Rattus norvegicus: one gene and its partners. The protein of the gene in region 1 interacts with the protein of each later gene in a biochemical or structural test. Links are inferred from orthologs where the notes say so. Each region holds a gene or a part of one and is shown on either strand. Other genes may lie near its edges.

Region 1 (5,996 bases):
TAATCTATCCTTTCCTCAAATGAATATCTTAGAACATCTAAGAACAGAGTTAAGGAAGGGAGTTCAGGAGGATAGGCAAGGCGACACATGGAGGGGAAATCTGGATGTAGAGTCACACTCAAGCTAAGAGTGACTCTAGGAGACCGTGGAGTCTCTGGGAGCCAAGTAAGGCATACATACATAATACCTTAGGACTTTTTGAATTAATACATTTGATATGTGCCCATGTTTGAGCCATCTTGCCAGGAGTAATAAGTATATGGAAAGGAGTTTAAGGAATCTTTGTATCTCAAGTGGAAACCATAGACCTGTTCCTTTCTTTAGGAGAAAAAAAAAACCCAGCTACTTTAGGATAGAAGGGCACTACCAGCCTCATGCATGTAAGCATGCTTCCTATCGCTGAGACCTCATGCATGCTAACTGCCTCTGTCAGCCGCATGCATGCCAGGTTAGGCATGCTTTCTGACAAAGCACTAGGAATATTTTCAATCTTGGCAGAAAATACAAAAAGAGAACTGAAATATGCTGGCTTGGTTACATCTGTACCCTTCTCTCTCACTTTCAGATTCCTTATGGCAAAAAGTATGATAAAATGTGGCTTCTGAGCATGATTCAGAGCAAGTGCAGTGTCCCCTTCAACCCCATTGAGGTAAGGCAAAGTTAGACCTGAAAGGCTGTGGAAGGGCCTGTGGACTACAAATCTAATATTCTTTGTTTTCCTTCTTCCAGTTTCACTATGAAAATACACGGGCCCAGTTTTTTGTGGAAGATGCCACTACCGCTTCTGCATTAAAGGCTGTCAACTATAAGATTCAGGATCGAGAAAACAGAAGGGTATGAACAAAGGGCCTGGCATGGCACAGTTGGCACTGATGCGCTAAAAGGGACTAAGTCTTAGTGCTGGTGATTAGGCTTCCCTCAAATACACTCTTGCCTTTCTGTCTTCTCTTCAGATATCTATCATCATCAACTCTTCTGCTCCACCCTATATTGTACAGAATGAACTGAAGCCTGAACAAGTAGAGCAGCTCAAGGTAAGGCTGGCTCAAGTGACAATGGTCCAGCAGACTTTAAATCTCCATCGGTGACCACTAAACCCTTTGTCTTCCTTTAGCTGATCATGAGCAAACGATATGATGGCTCCCAGCAAGCACTTGACCTCAAGGGCCTCCGCTCAGACCCAGGTATGACTGACAGCAATGATCCTGACTAAATGGAGAGGGGGACAATTGGTCTTTATAACACTGGTATGAGCAAGCCCTCTCAGACTTCCTTTTTTTTCCTGCTTGCTAAAGATTTGGTGGCCCAGAACATCGATGTTGTTCTAAACCGTAGAGGCTGTATGGCAGCCGCCCTGAGGATCATTGAAGAGAACATTCCTGAGGTGAAGCTTCTTTTTTTTGCATTAGAAAGCAGAGTGAGATGGGTAGGATAGGATGAGGGACAAATTTGCCTTGTGGTAACACATCTAAACTTTGTTCTATTCACAGCTATTGTCTTTGAACTTGAGTAACAACAGGCTGTACAAGCTTGATGACATGTCCAGCATTGTACAGAAGGCACCAAACTTAAAGATCCTGAATCTCTCTGGAAACGAAGTAAGACGGATCCCTAGTGGTACTTTGGTTTAATGGTTACTGGTTATGAATGGGTGGAGGCAGACTGTATGGGAGTTGGTTCTTCCCTTCCTCCCACTGTGAGTTCTTGGACTGGAACTTGGGTTGTGAGATGCTCACAAGGCAGGAGCTTCTGCCCACTGAGCCATCACACTGACCCTTGGCTGTATTTCTGTGGTGGTGGAGAGCGAGAACAGTTTGGCTGGCCATGGTGGGAAGCAAGAAAGAAAACTTAGGTTGTATTTGGAAACATGGGGATCCAGCTGCTATCCTTAGTAAAGTCCGTTTCCTGCCTCTTTTCTTCCCTCATCCTTCACAGTTGAAGTCCGAGTGGGAATTAGACAAGATAAAAGGGCTGAAGCTGGAAGAGCTGTGGCTTGACAGAAACCCCATGTGTGACACCTTCCTAGACCAGTCCACCTATATCAGGTCAGTTGTAGCCTCTGTCTCCCCTCCTGGGGACATTCACCCCCTGGGAGGCTGAGCTAATGCACCCTGACCAGTACCCGTCTACAGGAGAACATGCAGCCCTGAGCTGGAACCACCTGTCCTTTGGGAGGAGGATCCCGTACTCCTTTCTGCCTGTCAATGTCTCCTAGCTTTGTCCTAGATCTCCTCTCCTTTCTTCTCACCTGACTACTATATTCTGATTCTCTGGCCTTTCTCCTTCCTTCCTGAACACAGCCTTTTCTAGAATCTCCCTACCTGTTATTCCAGGAAGGATACCTCTTCTTTTCTGTTCTGATGTGGAGGTGTCTTATATATGTCCTACCTGTGTGTTTGTCTTCAGCCAAAAGCCTAGAGTACTCAGACTGAGAAAGCCCTCTCTTACTGAGATGGGCCTTCCTTCCTTTGCCCTTCGATGGTCCCTCTTGCCGTTGTACCAAGAGGGACTCTGTTTTCATGACACACTTAGCCAGGGCTGTTGCCTGGTCCTTCCTGCCCATGACGAGGTTGGTGCCTCTTGCAGGCTGGCACCATGCTAGTGGTCTCTCTTGCCTAGTGCTGTGAACTGGGCCCTTCCTGGAGAAGAAACCTGGGTTCCCTAAGATGTGACCAAAGCCAGGGACCCCGCCAGCAGGTGAGGGGATCCCAAGGCAAATGCTGGGCGTGGAGGCCATAGGGGCATCTGCTACCAAGGAGACAGAGAAATGACCCTGTCAGGGGCATGGCTCCTCCCTCACTCGCACACCTCACGTCACCCTGCTTGGCCCCGGAGATGGCTGGTTAGCCAGAGACGGGTAAGATTCCTCAGGGAAGGAACAACCTAAGACAGGCACAGTCGCATAGGGGCCATCAGGAGAAAACTTGGGGGCCAACTGAGGTGGGGCACAGACCCTCACCCCCCCAACTCGGCAGAGGCCTGAACCCTTCTGAGGGAGGTCTCCTGACCCCATGGCTGCTTTACCTCCCACGCCCAGCTCAGACCGGGACCCATGGAGCAGACAGAGACCTGGCCAACAGCAACTGCAAACCATTATAGGACTTATTCTCCATTTCTACCTTGGGACCACAGGAAAGGGGCAGCTGAAGGAAAGGGCTGTATCAGGAGGTCTTTCTTTCTACCATTCTTTTCTGAATGCCTCTGCCTTCAGGTCTGTCCCTGTTGCTTTACTTCCTCTTTGTCTCTCCATCTCTCTTTTGTCCTTGCCCTACCTTTCTCCATTTCTCTTCTTTCCCTTGGTCTCTTTTCTTTCCTCCTTTCTTCTTGAGCCCTGTCTTGTTCATCTCCTTGCCCCAACATCCCGTGCCATACTTGTGGTGTGTTCTGGTCTTGGCGAAGGCCAGACCTGGCAGAACTGGTGGATACCTGGTGAGGCAGCAGAGCCCCTGGGCTCCCACCCCATTCCCTCCTCCCGGGGCTGCACAGGTGAGTAGGTGGAAGGTAAGGGGGGAAAGGTGGGGAAGGCAGCCCTAGGCTTAAAGCCTGGGCTGAGAGTGTCCTTCTGTGGCACTTGGGATCAGGCAGTGAGACAACAAAGTCAGCCTTCAAGGCAATTCAGAAGGGGTGCCCCTGGTGAGGAGGGGAATGGGTGTTCTTGTCCCCAAGTTTAATTTAAGCTGGGGAGGAGGGGGCGATGTACAGGATGGGATGGGCTGTTCCTCGGGTTTTTGGTGTATTTGCTCCTAGAGCAGCCCAGGAGGCATGATGGCTCTGAAGCGTCTCTCACTTCTGTCCCGTTCTTGACAGCACCATTCGCGAACGATTTCCCAAGTTATTACGCCTGGTAAGTTTAATACTGTTCTCAGTAGCAAGGACAGCCAAGGTCTTGCCTCTATTTTGTGACCATCCATGTAGGTGTGGAGATTTCTTTGAGAATCTGCTAACAGTGGAAATCATCATCCTAGAAACGCTTGTTGACAAAGTTTATATAGGATCCCTGTATACTCTCCATGCTTTAGCTTTTCTGTATGCTTACAAATCCCGTCTTTGTTCTGTTTCTCATGTTACATTCACTTCTTTTTACAGGATGGCCATGAGCTACCCCCTCCAATTGCCTTTGATGTCGAAGCCCCTACTATGTTACCACCCTGCAAGGTCAGAATTGGGCTTAGAATTAGAGCTGTGTGTCGGATACATACTGGTCCTGTGACCCTAACATCTTGTTTGATTTCAGGGAAGCTATTTTGGAACAGAGAACCTAAAGAGTCTGGTCCTGCACTTCTTGCAGCAGTAAGTTTCCCAGGAGCCCTTAGTGCTGGGGATAATGGCTGGTCTGTGCGTACTCACTGCTATATGTGTCCTTTTGGTTCCAGACACAGAATTCAGACTCTTTAACTTTCCTTACAGGTACTATGCAATTTATGACTCAGGAGACCGCCAGGGTCTTCTGGATGCCTACCATGATGGCGCCTGTTGCTCGCTAAGCACTCCTTCCAACCCTCAGAACCCTGTCCGGTAAGTGTCACATGTCAGAACCTATCCAGAACCAAAAGATTATTTGGGAGATACAGGCCACTGATCTGACCACCACCATCATTCCCTCTTATTTTCCAGACACAACTTAGCCAAATACTTCAATGACAGCAGAAATGTGAAGAAGATTAAAGATACCAGTAAGTTTATTGTGTGTGCAGTCAAAATGGGAATCAGTAGAGCTAGCCAGTGTGGATGTGCCCTAACCGTGGTTTCCCTTCCTTCTGCTTGTAGCCACGCGGTTCCGGCTATTAAAGCATACACGTCTTAATGTCGTTGCCTTCCTCAATGAGTTACCTAAAACTCACCATGACGTTAACTCCTTTGTGGTAGATATAAGTGCCCAAACAGTAAGTACATATGTTTTCCTAATGAAGCTCAGAAGTGGGGTCATGAGTTCAGCATTCACTGGGTAAGGAGGCTCAGGCTCCGGGTTGGGAACCTCCATTACTTCGGGTGCTTTTTCTCTTTCAGAGCACATTGTTGTGTTTTTCTGTCAATGGAGTCTTCAAGGAAGGTAAGAATTTTGAGTTCTGAACCTTTCTCAGTATCTTTAGTTTCCTAGCTGACTTCTCATCCCTTTTCTTCTCCGACCTCTGTCCTATTTTGCCCAGTACATCTTGGTTTGGCCTTAAAACTCTTCCACCTGTCTTACCTGCAGTATGACAAAAACCTGGGGACCCAAACAGTGTAAGCGTAAGAGTCAGGCAGGTCTCCATTTCTTTTTTTTTTTTTTTAAAGAATTATTTATTTTATGTATATGAGTACACTGTAGCTGTCTTCAGAGGGCATCAGATCCCATTATAGTCGATAGCCACCATGTGGTTGCTGGGAATTGAACTCAGAACCTCTGGAAGAGTAGTCAGTGCTCTTAACTGCTGAGCCATCTCCCCAGCCCAGGTCTCCATTTCTGTCCCTGTGTTAATGCTGTGGGTCTGGGAAAGTTGCAATACCTTTGAATCTTGTTCTTTTTTCTGTTTTGTTAGATGATTTCATAATACTTTTGCACAGTGGTACTTCAGGAATGATTTCAGGCACTTTGCCAAGCTAGGCTAACACTTTTAAATTGTTTTACTTCCTATAGCACACAGCAAATTCTGTTATTATCTGATCTGTCCCTTTATCCCACCTCTGTTTCCTTATGACCAAATAACCCTCCTTACCTGACCAAGTTAGGAGTCTCTGTGTCAGACACCGTGGTGTGAGTGATAATTGTAAGATCAAGCCTGAATGGCTTAAGGAGCCATTGCCACACTTCTCTCATTGCAGTGGACGGGAAGTCTCGAGATTCTTTACGTGCTTTCACGAGAACGTTCATTGCTGTTCCTGCCAGCAATTCAGGGTAAGTACTCAGCTTATCAGTTTGGGTATTATTTTCAGTCCCAGGGTAGCAGTGTGATAGCTGGAAGGTAGAGATATTCCTTAGGTAGTTTTCAGAATTGCAGAAAAGCAATAGAAGTTTA
Region 2 (6,702 bases), on another chromosome or scaffold:
TCTGTAATAATTTCAATAAAATGTAAGCATGTATATGCAACACACAATTTTTAAAACGACAATTGGTAGTTTATTATACACATATTTCTCTGATTGATGGCATTTATGCTAACGGTCTTTTAAATATTATTTTTGCAGGCCTGGAGAGGTGGCTCAGGGGTTAAAAGTACTTGCTGCTCTTACAGAGGACACAGTTTGTTTTCCCAGAGGCCTATGTTGGTGACTCACAACCCTGTAATTCCAGCTTCTCTGGGGCTCTATCACCCTCTCTGGCTTCTCTGGGGATTAGAACACTAACATACATGCAGATATTCACATAAATATTTAAAGACAGGGTCTCATTACATAATCCTGGCAGGCCTAGTATTCACTATATAGATAAGGCTGGTCTTTTTTTTTTTACTCAAAGTGCTTATGTACACAACAGCATTTATGCCACTAGAGCAGAGGCTGTGATGACTCCTATTTCCTATTGGGTGGGAGCATACACTTAGTCTTATAGTATGGAGCCAACCGGTGAATTCTGCTCTCTATCGGAATCAGGCGGAATTTAGCATCCTTATCCTTTCTGTTCCTCTCAAGGTGCATTCGGACAGCAACTGCTTTCTTAATCAAATGGTAGAGATCCTCAGGAAGATCATGGGCATGGCCTTTGGACTTAAGGATTCTCAAGATTTTATTTCTAGTCACAAAAGAACTGACCTGTGCCGCACCATGTGAGTCCCTCAGGCTCACACCTATCTGGGAGGGAGTTAGGCCTTTCTTGGCCGACTTGTAAATTTGTTCCTTCACGTCATCAGACATTAACTTCAACCACTTCAGGATGCAGGGCTTAAGTGGATGTAGGGCAGAGCCGACTGGGACAGGCCCTTGCCGGAGCCTACATGATGGCGGAGATCTGGCAGCAAAGAGCAAATCTGGCCTTGAATTCAGCAAGATCTGTCTGCTTCTGCCTTTCACGTGGTAGGATTAAAGGGGTACATCACCAGGCCTGCTAAAATCTTTAAAAGAATATTTTTTTTCCGGTTCTCTCTTGCTCCTCTCTTGCTCTTGCCTTCCTGCCCCCAATCTCTCCTCCCCATTCCCTCCCTCGCCCTGCTCTCCACATGCTCATGGCCAGCCTCAACTTCTCTCTCTCTCTCTCTCTCTCTCTCTCTCTCTCTCTCTCTCTCTCTCTCTCTCTCTCTCTCCTATCCTCTTAACTCCCCTCCCCATGCCCTGAATAAACTCTATACTGTGCTTTAAAAAAAAGAATATTTTTCCACTAAGAATTGAACCTAGAGCTTCACTTAGGTGCCCAAGGTTCCTGAACTGTGTCTCCAGACTTCTTTTGTGTGGGGTTGGTTTTAAGACAGAATCTCACCAACTTATCAAGTTACTCAGGCTAATGAAGAATTTATGATCCTTACCCTCAAGAGTAGCTGGGATATAGGTGCTCCAAAAGCCACACAACAGCAACTTTTAATACAAGTATGTCTATGCTTTATAGTATTTTGGGGTTTATAATTTACCTATCAGGCTTCTTTCAAATCTTTTTGATGTAATCAAGAGATTTTGGACCAAGTATTCACCAATTTCAAGATTATATACTAACAAAACAAATCGGCTGAAATAGGGCTAATCAGGTTGCTGTATCTAGTCTTCAAATAGCTTTTAAATTTAGAATTAAGGGTTTTTTTTGGGGGGGGCATTCTTATCACCTTGTAAAATGTCCTGTTTTAAAACACATTCTCAACTCAGTCTTAAAAGATGGGAATACCAGAATCTTTCTAATGTCTTCAAGGTACATATTTGGGGAGACTGCAAAAAAGCCTATTTCGCGGTTGGGGATTTAGCTCAGTGGTAGAGCGCTTGCCTAGCATGCGCCAGGCCCTGGGTTCGGTCCCCAGCTCCGAAAAAAGAAAAAAAAAAAAAAAAAAAAGCCTATTTCCCCTCACCAGGAGGTAAGCACCAGTGGTATAGACTATCCATCTTTTTTTTTTTTTTTTCTTTTTTTCGGAGCTGGGGACCGAACTCAGGGCCTGGCGCTTGCTAGGCAAGCGCTCTACCACTGAGCTAAATCCCCAACCCCTACCCATCTAATCTTATGATCACCAGTATTACACAAGCTTACGAGACTCCTTACAGATGCATGGGGTCACCGAAGTTGGTGGCGGGGAGACGTTTAGATTTGAATCAGGGTTAAAGGAGTCAAAGGAGGGGGATCTAGGAGGGGACAAGGTGGCCATGTTACTGGATCCTAATATGGATTAATCGGAGTGCTGAGGTCCAAGAAACGAGATAAATGTAGTACCCGCACAGTGAGAAGCGTTACATATTAAAGCTAAGCACAGCTACCTTTCACAAATCTTTTATGAATGCAAATCCTACACATTTTCACAACATAAATCAGGAAGCAAAAAAGGCCTGCAAGTGGTCCTGCAGGTCAGACCAGTCGGTAGGCCCGGAAGCCCGGAGTGTAGGTCACTGCCGGGCCCAAGGCGGCCAGGGCTGCGCTCTGTTTCCTATGTCCGCGGGCGGGCTGTGACTCGGTACCGCCCAGGGCGTCAGCGTGACCCGAGGCTCAGTGAACCCTGAACTCACCGCCCCAGCCAGCCGCACAGACCGGGGCAGGCGCTTTCTCGCGCACGGGGGTGGGGCTTTTTCAGGCTGCTAACTAAGATGGTGTCGGCTGGACTTCCCGGGACAGCTGCCTAAGCGGATCGAGGGCCAGCAGCCGGAAGGACCACCGAGCCCATTGTCCCGCCCAGACAGGACAGTGCGGAGCCCGCAAGTTCCAGACTCGAAGGACCGAAGCACAGGCAAGTACGCCGTAGGACCTAACAAATGTTTAAGAGAACGCCGAAAGCGCGGGGAGGCGGGCCTGACTCACTGTCACCGTCTCGCGACAGCTAAGTGACGTCGCACAGCAAGCGCGTGGTAGAGTCTTTCACCTTCAGACTCCTCAGTTTATGGGCCTACTCCTTTAAGTGAGTGATGGACAGCGCTTTTATCCAATCATTTTCCTCGTCAACATCCAATCAGATTTAAACTTTATTCAGCCGCCGGAGAAGTTGGAAGACTGGGGTTGAAAGAGAGCGAGCGAGTGAGCGAGCGAGCTCTTTGTCTCTCGCGAGATCCGAGAGAGCCAAGTTCTCAGGGAAAAACGCCTGAACTGATGTCCAGACTTCCCAAGTAGTGATTTAAAGGACGTGGCCATAAACCAATGAAAGGGAAGAGAAGGTGGGATCGCTGCTTTCGCCGTGCTAGAAGTACCGTTACAGGGCAGACTTTTTGTCCAATCAACGCTTCTAGGCTTTGGGTCAGGTGACCATGAAGTGCGAGGGGCGGAGCTACAGCCTGGCGCGAGGAACCGTTAAGATAGACAACGAATATAACCAATGAGGTACTGCGATTAGGGCGTTGGGAACCCAATAACAGCGTCGGGGCGGGCGCCTTCCCGGAGCGCGGGGAGATGTAAAGACGGACAAATAGTTTTTCCAATGAGAAAGCTGAAGAGTGAATTAATTGACCAATGAGGTCTGCGGGGCGGGAGCCTTTGCCGCGGCGGAGTCCAAGATGGCGGCGTGCGAGTCCGCTGTGTGAAACGAGCGCGGGGTGGCGGGTTAGTCAGCTCCGCAGAGACGACCTCCGGCGACCCTCAACAATGAAAGGAAAGGAGCGCTCGCCAGTCAAGCCCAAACGCTCCCGTGGCGGTGAGGACTCCAGTTCTCGTGGGGAACGGAGCAAGAAGTTAGGGGGCTCTGGCGGCAGCAATGGGAGCAGCAGCGGGAAGACGGACAGCGGCGGGTCGCGGCGGAGCCTTCATCTGGACAAGTCCAGCAGCCGAGGCGGCAGCCGCGAGTATGATACCGGTGGGGGCAGCTCCAGTAGCCGCTTGCATAGTTACAGCTCCCCAAGCACCAAAAATTCCTCAGGCGGGGGCGAGTCGCGCAGCAGCTCCCGGGGTGGAGGCGGGGAGTCACGTTCCTCTGGGGCCGCCTCCTCAGCGCCTGGCGGCGGGGACGGCGTGGAGTACAAGACCCTGAAGATAAGCGAATTGGGGTCCCAGCTGAGTGACGAAGCGGTGGAGGACGGACTGTTTCACGAGTTCAAACGCTTCGGTGATGTAAGTGTCAAAATCAGTCATCTCTCAGGTTCTGGCAGCGGGGATGAGCGGGTAGCCTTTGTGAACTTCCGGAGGCCAGAGGACGCGAGGGCGGCCAAGCATGCCAGAGGCCGCCTGGTGCTCTATGACCGGCCTCTGAAGATAGAAGCCGTGTATGTGAGCCGGCGCCGCAGCCGCTCCCCGTTAGACAAAGATACTTACGCCCCGTCGTCCAGCGTGGTCGGAAGCTCTGTAGGTAGCCACAGGCACGCCCCTGGAGGAGGTGGAGGTCAGAGATCGCTTTCTCCTGGCGGTGCTGCTTTGGGATACAGAGACTACCGGTTGCAGCAGTTGGCTCTTGGCCGCCTGCCTCCTCCACCCCCGCCACCATTGCCCCGAGAGCTGGAAAGAGAACGAGACTATCCGTTCTATGACAGAGTGCGGCCAGCATATAGTCTTGAGCCGAGGGTGGGAGCTGGAGCAGGTGCTGCTCCATTCCGAGAAGTGGATGAGATATCACCTGAGGATGATCAGCGTGCCAACCGGACACTTTTCTTGGGCAACTTAGATATCACTGTGACAGAAAATGATCTGAGAAGGGCTTTTGATCGTTTTGGAGTCATCACAGAAGTGGACATTAAGAGGCCTTCTCGTGGCCAGACCAGTACTTACGGCTTTCTCAAATTTGAGAACCTAGACATGTCTCACAGGGCCAAAATAGCAATGTCTGGCAAAATTATAATTCGGAATCCAATCAAGATTGGTTATGGGAAAGCCACACCCACTACCCGACTTTGGGTGGGTGGTCTGGGACCTTGGGTGCCTCTTGCTGCCCTGGCACGAGAATTTGATCGATTTGGCACCATTCGAACCATAGACTACCGAAAAGGTGACAGTTGGGCATATATACAGTATGAAAGCTTGGATGCAGCTCATGCTGCCTGGACCCATATGCGTGGATTCCCACTTGGTGGCCCAGATCGTCGCCTTAGGGTAGACTTTGCAGACACAGAACATCGTTACCAGCAGCAGTATCTTCAGCCTCTGCCCTTAACCCATTATGAACTAGTGACAGATACTTTTGGACATCGAGCACCTGACCCTTTGAGGAGTGCTCGGGACCGGACACCACCCTTACTATACAGAGATCGTGATAGGGACCTTTATCCCGATTCTGATTGGGTGCCACCCCCGCCACCGGTTCGGGAACGCAGTGCTCGGGCTGCAACTAGTGCCGTCACTGCTTATGAGCCACTGGATAGCTTGGATCGAAGGAGGGATGGCTGGTCACTGGACAGGGACAGAGGTGACCGGGATTTGCCTAGCAGCAGGGACCAGCCAAGGAAGCGAAGGCTGCCTGAGGAAAGTGGAGGACGGCATCTTGATAGATCACCCGAGAGTGACCGGCCTCGAAAACAGCGTCACTGCACTCCTTCTCCTGACCGAAGTCCAGAACTGAGCAGTAACAGAGATCGTTACAACAGTGACAATGATCGATCATCTCGTCTTCTACTCTTGGAAAGGCCTTCCCCAGTCAGAGATAGACGGGGCAGTTTGGAGAAGAGCCAGAGTGACAAACGAGACCGTAAAAACTCTGCATCAGCTGAACGGGATAGGAAGCACCGGACAGCTGCTCCCACAGAGGGAAAAACCCCTCTGAAAAAGGAAGACCGATCTGATGGCAATACACCCAGTGCCAGCACTTCTTCATCAAAGCAGAAGCCACCTTCCCAGAAACAGGATGGAGGGACAGCTCCTGTGGCAGCATCCTCTCCCAAACTCTGTTTGGCTTGGCAGGGCATGCTTCTACTGAAGAACAGCAACTTCCCTTCCAACATGCATCTATTGCAGGGTGACCTCCAAGTTGCTAGCAGTCTACTTGTGGAGGGTTCCACTGGAGGCAAAGTAGCCCAGCTCAAGATCACTCAGCGGCTCCGTTTGGACCAGCCCAAGTTGGATGAAGTAACTCGACGCATCAAAGTGGCAGGGCCTAATGGTTATGCCATTCTCCTAGCTGTACCTGGAAGTTCTGACAGCCGATCCTCCTCTTCCTCAGCCACATCAGACACTGCCGCCTCTACTCAGAGGCCACTTAGGAACCTTGTGTCCTATTTAAAGCAAAAGCAGGCAGCTGGGGTGATCAGCCTCCCTGTGGGAGGCAATAAAGACAAGGAAAACACCGGGGTTCTTCATGCCTTCCCACCTTGTGAGTTCTCTCAGCAGTTCCTGGATTCCCCTGCCAAGGCACTGGCCAAATCTGAAGAAGATTACCTGGTCATGATCATTGTCCGTGGTGCGTCCTAAAGTCCATGTGTAACTTGTATTTACTACTTTGACATGGTTCCTTGTTTTGTGATGTGTAATGGGATACAGCATCAGATGAAAATTTCTTTCATTTAGTTTAGTTGGTTTTTTTTTATATATATATTTTTGTAAACCTCCTTAAAATAGATAATGGGGCAGTTTAGTTATTAAGTGAAAGGGATGCCCTGAAGGTAGCAGGAAGATAGATTTGCTTTAATTAGGAGTTCTTACCCTGATAATTTTTCTTTTTCTTCAGGTTTTTTATTTTTTCTTTTTCAATCTTGAGTTTTTAAAAAAAAAAAATCCTCAAA
Region 3 (6,644 bases), on another chromosome or scaffold:
AAATAATTTTCTTGAATAGACATTATAGTCCAGACCTTATTTTTCTGTTTAGAGGGTAAAATAAATACATAAAACGTCAAAATTTCCTGTACTTGCCATCTCTGAATATTCTATTGACTGGAGCTTTTTTACTTTTTGAAAAATAAACAAAGACTAATTTTCAGTCCAGGTTGGGGTTAGAGGAAACTGTATTTCACGTGTAATTAGTGGCTATTCTTCGCTTGTTTGCTGATTTGTAATTGATGAATGGTTACCATGTTAAATGGGAGAATAGAACAAATGTTAGCTGGGTCTCTATTGGCAGAGAGACCAGGGCAGTAATCGTTTTTCCATGAATTGAGACATATTGTTTGTTCTGCCTCTAAAACCCAGTCTAGATATAACGTGGACTTCTTGGGTGTCACAGTTTTCTGCAATGAACCAACCACACAAATATGAGAGTTGTATTTTTTTCCTCTCTAAATAAATATGCAGGAAATGAATTAAATAACTGAGATCAAGCCTAAACGGGATATGGACTTTTTTCATGAACCCTCAAATTCTATGTTTCTTTTCTTTCTTTCTTTTTCTCTTCTTTCTATTTTTTTTTTTTTTTTACTTTTGTCTGACTTCGGTCAAGTTCTTTGACATAACCTTTCCTTTATTTCTTCATTCTTTCCTGTCTTTGAGAGATAGGTTCTTGCTGAGCAACCCACAGTCCTCCCATCTTGTCTCGAAGGTAAGGTCCGGTCTGATGTTGCTTCTTCTCACCGCTTGGCTGTGGGGATTCTCCCTTCTAGGAAACAGATGCTAGCCTATGCTGGAGACTTGATTCTGCTGGGATGAGAAGGAGAGCTGTAATGAACAGTTCTGCTTGTTCAGTAGTTTTGGGGGACAAGAACATACCTGGAGAGTGTAGGCAGATTGGGAGGGGAGGATACTGAAGACGAGGACATGAATTCCCTTGATCATCTTCGGTGACTTGTCTCAGGGATGAAGGTTCTACACAGACTGTACCAAGAGGCTACTGAAGGGGCTTTGATGTGCTAAAAGGTACTATAAGTTCAAAGGTACTGTAAGTTTTATTAATTTGATTTCAATAGTGATTTGAATTGTACACTTTGGGGGTGGGCTGGTGCAAAAGTTCATGGAGATTGCTTTCGGTAGCTGATTTCTGGTTGGTACTGAGCGCTTTCGGTCTGTACAGCTATTGTAAGCAGAACCATGTTTCCGTTGAGGTAAATATTCATTCTGTTTGCAGATGAGGAAAGAGAAGCTTTGAAAGAAGATCAGTAATCTCCCCAAGGCCACACAGCTAGTAAGTGACAGATTTAAACAATCTATTTGATTTTATAGTTATACACTTTAGAACACTGTTCTCTAATAGAACATTAAGTCGACGATTTTTTTCATAAGCGATTCTTTTTAATCATTTATTTATTTCATGGAAAAACTGGCTTATAGTCCTTCCTGGCTTTGAATGCCCAACTCCATATCCACCCTCTTCCTCTTCATCCCCCCCCTCCCCCCCAAAGACAGTTCTCTGTGTAGCCCTGGCTGTCCTGGAACTTGTTTTGTAGGCCGGGCTGGCCTTGAAGTCACAGAGATCAACCTGCATTTGACTCCTGAATGCTGGGATCAAAGGCGTGTGTCACCAGCCAAACCGATACCCTTAATGGTACCTCTTAAAGTTTCTTGGTTTCCATATAGTCCATTGAAATGACTAGGCTGGATCACATGACCACACAGACCTTTTGTCTAATGCCTGCATCTTTGACACCGTTTATTCAGCCTTTGAGGGTACAGTGTTTAATTACCTTCCAAACTATAATACTAACTGAAGCAAATATGTTTACTAGGAATGTATGAGTCATCCTTAATGTGTGTTGATTGCATAGGTTATAATTGCAATCATTTACTACGTTTCTTGTATACCAGGAAATCTATTAGTGCTCTACACAGATGACTGACCGCACTAGCTCCCCACAACTTTATAAGGTGGATTTTAAAGCTCCTAGCTGGTAGTCATCCAAGGTCAAGTCTGTAAGTAGTGAAGGAACTCAGACTGCAAACACCGTGCGCGTTGATAACAAAGCTCTTATATGATTAATGAAACAGTAACGAAGTTGTATTTTTTGCTTTTGTTGAGACAGTATCTCACTATGAAGCTGAGGCTAACCTCTAACTAGTGCCAAATGCCAATCAGAAGCCAAATGCCTTTTCTACTTGTTTTAGGCCTAGGGATCACGGCCACTGTTAATTTTAAAAGCGTTTTTTTTTCTCTCATATTGTGACAAATTATCGTTCTTTGATTTTTACTGTTTACTTCCATTCCGCTTATAATTGATGAATGGGAGATTACAGTTTTCACGTCGAGTGCCATTCTGAATCTAAACCGCCAACTGCCGCCAAATGACCGGGGCTTTGTGCCTCTGCGGAGCTCCGCGGGTGTCCTTCCGCCGCAGCCTTCCTTTCCGAGAATCCGCGCTCTTGCCAGAAAAACTATATTTCCCAGAGGCACCAGCGACAGAGAGCGCGGGCTCGGCCAACCCTTCCTTCCTTTGCCCATCCCCCCACATCGTCGCAGCGTGATGACGCAGACGCGTCGGTCGCTGAGGAGTGACGGTGTTCTGGCTCGCGACCGCGGCGGCCGCCTCAACAGCGGTAATAGGCGCAAGAGCGGCGGCGACGACGACTGCAGGGACGACGACGGCGGCGGCGGCGGCGGCGGCGGCGGGGCGGGCGCAGCGCGCACAGGGGAGGGGTTGGCGGGCGGCGCCGGCGGCCTGGACTGCGGCAGCGACGGCCAGGGCCGCTGAAGAGGAGCCTCCAGCAGCGGGCGGTCGAGCTAGGCCTCAGCGGTGCCCGGAGCTGCTCGCGCCGGCCTCGGCGGGAGATCTCCATAGAGACGGTGACAAACACAAACGCGGGGGTCCGCACGCGGCCGGCGGTCCTCAGCCAGCTCACGGCCTTCAGCCGCCGCCACTGCCTTCCTCGCCGCGCGAACTCTCATTTCCCGCTCGCTCCCTCGCGGTTCTCGCTGTGTCTGTGTGTCGCCTAGGGCCGGGCGGGGGAGGCCCTCAGGCCGCCGCCTCTGCCTCTCCCGCCCGGGAGCGGTAGTGGGAGGTCGCCCAGGCTCCGCCATGGCCTCAGGAGCCGGAGGCATAGGAGGGGGCGGCGGCGGCGGCAAGATCCGGACGCGTCGTTGCCACCAGGGGCCGGTGAAGCCTTACCAGCAGGGGCGACCCCAACACCAGGTACGGGACCAGCACGCCGCCAGGACTGGGCGGCTCCGGGTAGCCGCTCTGGGGGGCGGTGCGAGGCCCCGGCGCCCCACGTGGAGGGGACCAGAGGGCCTGAGACAGGGCCGGGGTGGCGACGGGAAGTGGGTAGAGCCTGGCCAGGCCTGGCGTCGCACACGTGGGGTGCGAGCGGCCTCTCCCAGCCCTCCCGCCCAGGGGCTTTCCCCGGCGGGCGCAGGGCGGGAAAAGAAATTCCAGGCTTCTGATACTCCGGCTTCTTTTTTGGCGGGTTTTGGGGTTTTGATGGTATTACTCACGACCTCGCGAGGGAACAAGGGAAAGATGTGGCAACAGGCCTATCCGCTGGCAGGCTTTTTCTTTCTGATGTTCCCGGGTTTAGGGTGCGTGGGGAGGTTAATCTGCCACCGGGGCCGGGAGAGACTTGGGGAGGGGGCGCTGTTACCCGGATAGTGGATTAATTCCGTTTTAGCCATATTTAATCTTAAATGATAGTGATAGTTCAGTCCCCTCGTCTGCCTGCTTGGCCTTTCCAGATCTGAACACACTGGTTTAGCTTCTCGTCCTTTCCTCTTTTAACTGAGTTATAGTTATGTGGCACTGAGGCGTTTTGAAAGTCCCTCGCCGCTCTTACGTCTGGTCTCTGATGCGCGATTCTTCCCTCTCCTCTCCACCCCGCTCTGTATTCTGAAGACCAGAATCAGCCATTCTCTACAGTTCACCAGAGATCAACTCTTATCTTATACACCAAATATTTTTTAATACTGGGCATTTTCTAGAAGTGTAAGGTATTTTGGACTCTCTAGGAGTGTTGGTAATCTTATAGGTTAAGCCACCGTATGCCTTCTTAGGGTGTTTATAAAAATGTCGATTTCTGTTGTAAATGAGATATTCGGTTCAGAAAAAAATTTGAGTTTTTAGAAATTGTGAGAATTAAAATGTTAAAAATCCACTTTAACAAAGCCACTTTTACAGGGCCTCGTGTACTAAAGTAGGAAGTGTGTATTTTAAGCTTATTGAAGAAGGGCTAGTAAATAACTTGTTGCGTATTCGTAAATGTAGATTTTTCTTGTTTTATCCTGGCTAGTGCTAAAATTGAATACTTAGCGTTTTTGTTTGGTAATGTTAAATTATATCACTTTCGGGATTTTAAAAAGTAAAGATAGGTAAAATTTTGAATAGTAAAAGCTGTGGTTTATATACTGAGAAGTTATTTGTCCTTGGTTGGAAGCCTTGGCATATTACCATTTTCCCTAGATGTGTGCAGAATGCTGAGGCGCCAGGGGTATTATTCCCAAGCAGATTTTTAAGACGAAGATTTCCCAAGCCTGGCCATTTTACTTTACCTGACACTGTACAGTGGACATTAAGACAAACATACTTTTCTCCTAAGAGTAACGAATCACCTGAATGCTTGTTAAAGGAAAATGAAAACAATTTGAGCAGAGAAATGGATGGCTTGGCTAGAGTTTAGAAAGAAGTCAATATTGTGATATTATGATAGAGTTTAGAAGGAAACAAAAGTTATGATCACAACTTATTTTAAAATGTATTTAGATAAAAAAACTAATTTGAGAGAGAAGTTGAGCCAACTAAAGCCCAATGTGTTTTAGAGCTGATCCAGATTTCAGGTTGTATAGTTTTAGGGCTCAGTAGTTAAGCTGTAACTTATGTAATGTTAGCTTCTTGCCTCAGTCATTTAAAAAGTAAATACATCTTTGACCTGGAATTAAAGATAACTTTCTTGATTTGCTGATTTAATATTGGCAGAATCAACCGAAGAAAAGTATTCGGGATTATATTAAAGAATACAGCTCAGTGTTTGTTTCTGTCTTAAAGTAACTAGTCTTACCTGGAACTTAGTGGATGTCATTGTCCTCTACTAGCAGAGCTCGTCAGCTGGTTTTTTCAGCAGCTGCTGAGTCATCTTGGGTATAGTGAGGAGCTTCATGACATGGCATGTTTCATACTGATGTTTGATAAGTGTCCAGATCTCTGAGCAGAATAAAACCTTTGGTTGTGTAGTAGAAGGTTAGAAGAAGTAAGCAGTGGTGCTATTGGTGGATGCAGGGCAGCAAATGTCTGGCCAAAGAGCTACTGCAGTCACACAGTAGTACCTGTGGCTCCTGTCTCATGTTCAGCTGACTTCTGATTTCCTGTTTTGACTTCTGGTTTAGGTCTTCTGGGAAATGTCTAAACTTTAGCATTTTTCTACTTTTAAGTTTTCTTTTAAAAAAAGCTACCTTGTTTGAAGTTGTCGAACTAGAAAGATACTGTCTTGATCAACCAAATAAAAGTAACAGTTGAGTGTAGAGATAGCTGGATATAGAGGTGCATACCTGAGATCACAGCTGCTAAGAGGCCGAGGCCAGCCTGAACTGTAGGCTGTCTTCAAGAAGTGTAGAAGTAAGAGAGGATGCTGGATGGTTATTTTCACCTACCCCGTTAGCCAGGTACTTTTTAGCTTTTTTTTTTTTTTAAGACAGGGTCCTTCTGTGTGGCTCAGGCTGACCTTAAACCTGAGACCTTCCTGCTTAGATCTCTTGCTTACTTAACCCAGATACTTTTAAAAAACGCATAATTTTCTAGTTGGGAGTTCTTTTCTCCTGTTTAGTCTCCTTTCCTATGTCCATTGTGTGTAGCAAGGCTGCTTTTTTTTTTTTTTTTTTTTTTTTTGGTTCTTTTTTTCGGAGCTGGGGACCGAACCCAGGGCCTTGCGCTTCCTAGGTAAGCGCTCTACCACTGAGCTAAATCCCCAGCCCGGCTGCTTTTTTCCTAATAGATACCACATACACTTGAGCTCCTGAGCAAAACTTACTTCTGGAAGAATCTGTTGCCACATCCTGGTGAGACAGACCCATTTGCTTTTGTCCCTCCCCTCCTTTGGTGCTCCCCTGGCTTGGAGCAAAGGGATCTACTTTTCATCCTTACAGAAACAGGGGTGGCTGATAGCCTGACCATCCTGGTTTAAATCAGTGACTGCGCTCAACTGTTTAAAAGCTGGGGAGGGAAGGAGTTCTCTTCCATCAATATTTTACATCAAGGGTTGATGAATCTTTTATGAAGAAACAAAGCTCTTTTGAGGCTCTGTAGCTGCAGTTTTTTTTTTTTTTCTTTTCTTTTCTTTTCTTTTTTTTTTCGGAGCTGGGGACCGAACCCAGGGCCTTGCGCTTGCTAGGCAAGCGCTCTACTGCTGAGCTAAATCCCCAACCCCGAGCTGCAGTTTTTTTTTAAAAAGGATTATTGGCAAATATTAAAACCATTTTTAGCTTTAAGGTCAGGTCAAAGACTAGATTGGCCCACAGTCACTGGAATCGTAGAACCCGGTTTGTGATAGGATACTTTTTGTTTATTTTGGTACTTGATTTTTTTTTTTTTGATCCAAATAAGTGTGTCCTGGCTAAC

What was found.
Region 2: the proteins of Nxf1 (region 1) and Rbm15 form a complex in vitro, tested with the Homo sapiens proteins (2 studies listed by BioGRID). The link is inferred for Rattus norvegicus from reciprocal best matches to the Homo sapiens genes NXF1 and RBM15.
Region 3: the proteins of Nxf1 (region 1) and Nup153 form a complex in vitro, tested with the Homo sapiens proteins (2 studies listed by BioGRID and IntAct). The link is inferred for Rattus norvegicus from reciprocal best matches to the Homo sapiens genes NXF1 and NUP153.

Annotation. Positions count from the first base shown.
Region 1 is NC_086019.1:215,089,891-215,095,886, forward strand, and holds part of Nxf1 (nuclear RNA export factor 1), read left to right. Parts: intron 1-565; coding exon 566-649; intron 650-729; coding exon 730-834; intron 835-953; coding exon 954-1,034; intron 1,035-1,114; coding exon 1,115-1,184; intron 1,185-1,295; coding exon 1,296-1,384; intron 1,385-1,490; coding exon 1,491-1,598; intron 1,599-1,935; coding exon 1,936-2,045; intron 2,046-3,807; coding exon 3,808-3,844; intron 3,845-4,086; coding exon 4,087-4,155; intron 4,156-4,234; coding exon 4,235-4,290; intron 4,291-4,407; coding exon 4,408-4,515; intron 4,516-4,614; coding exon 4,615-4,673; intron 4,674-4,767; coding exon 4,768-4,883; intron 4,884-5,007; coding exon 5,008-5,050; intron 5,051-5,802; coding exon 5,803-5,875; intron 5,876-5,996.
Region 2 is NC_086020.1:197,638,642-197,645,343, reverse strand, and holds the start of Rbm15 (RNA-binding protein 15), read left to right. Parts: upstream 1-2,646; 5' UTR 2,647-3,514; coding exon 3,515-6,380; intron 6,381-6,702. UniProt on the Homo sapiens protein: RNA-binding protein that acts as a key regulator of N6-methyladenosine (m6A) methylation of RNAs, thereby regulating different processes, such as hematopoietic cell homeostasis, alternative splicing of mRNAs and X chromosome inactivation mediated by Xist RNA.
Region 3 is NC_086035.1:18,175,868-18,182,511, forward strand, and holds the start of Nup153 (nuclear pore complex protein Nup153), read left to right. Parts: upstream 1-2,588; 5' UTR 2,589-3,122; coding exon 3,123-3,236; intron 3,237-6,644. UniProt on the Homo sapiens protein: Component of the nuclear pore complex (NPC), a complex required for the trafficking across the nuclear envelope. Functions as a scaffolding element in the nuclear phase of the NPC essential for normal nucleocytoplasmic transport of proteins and mRNAs.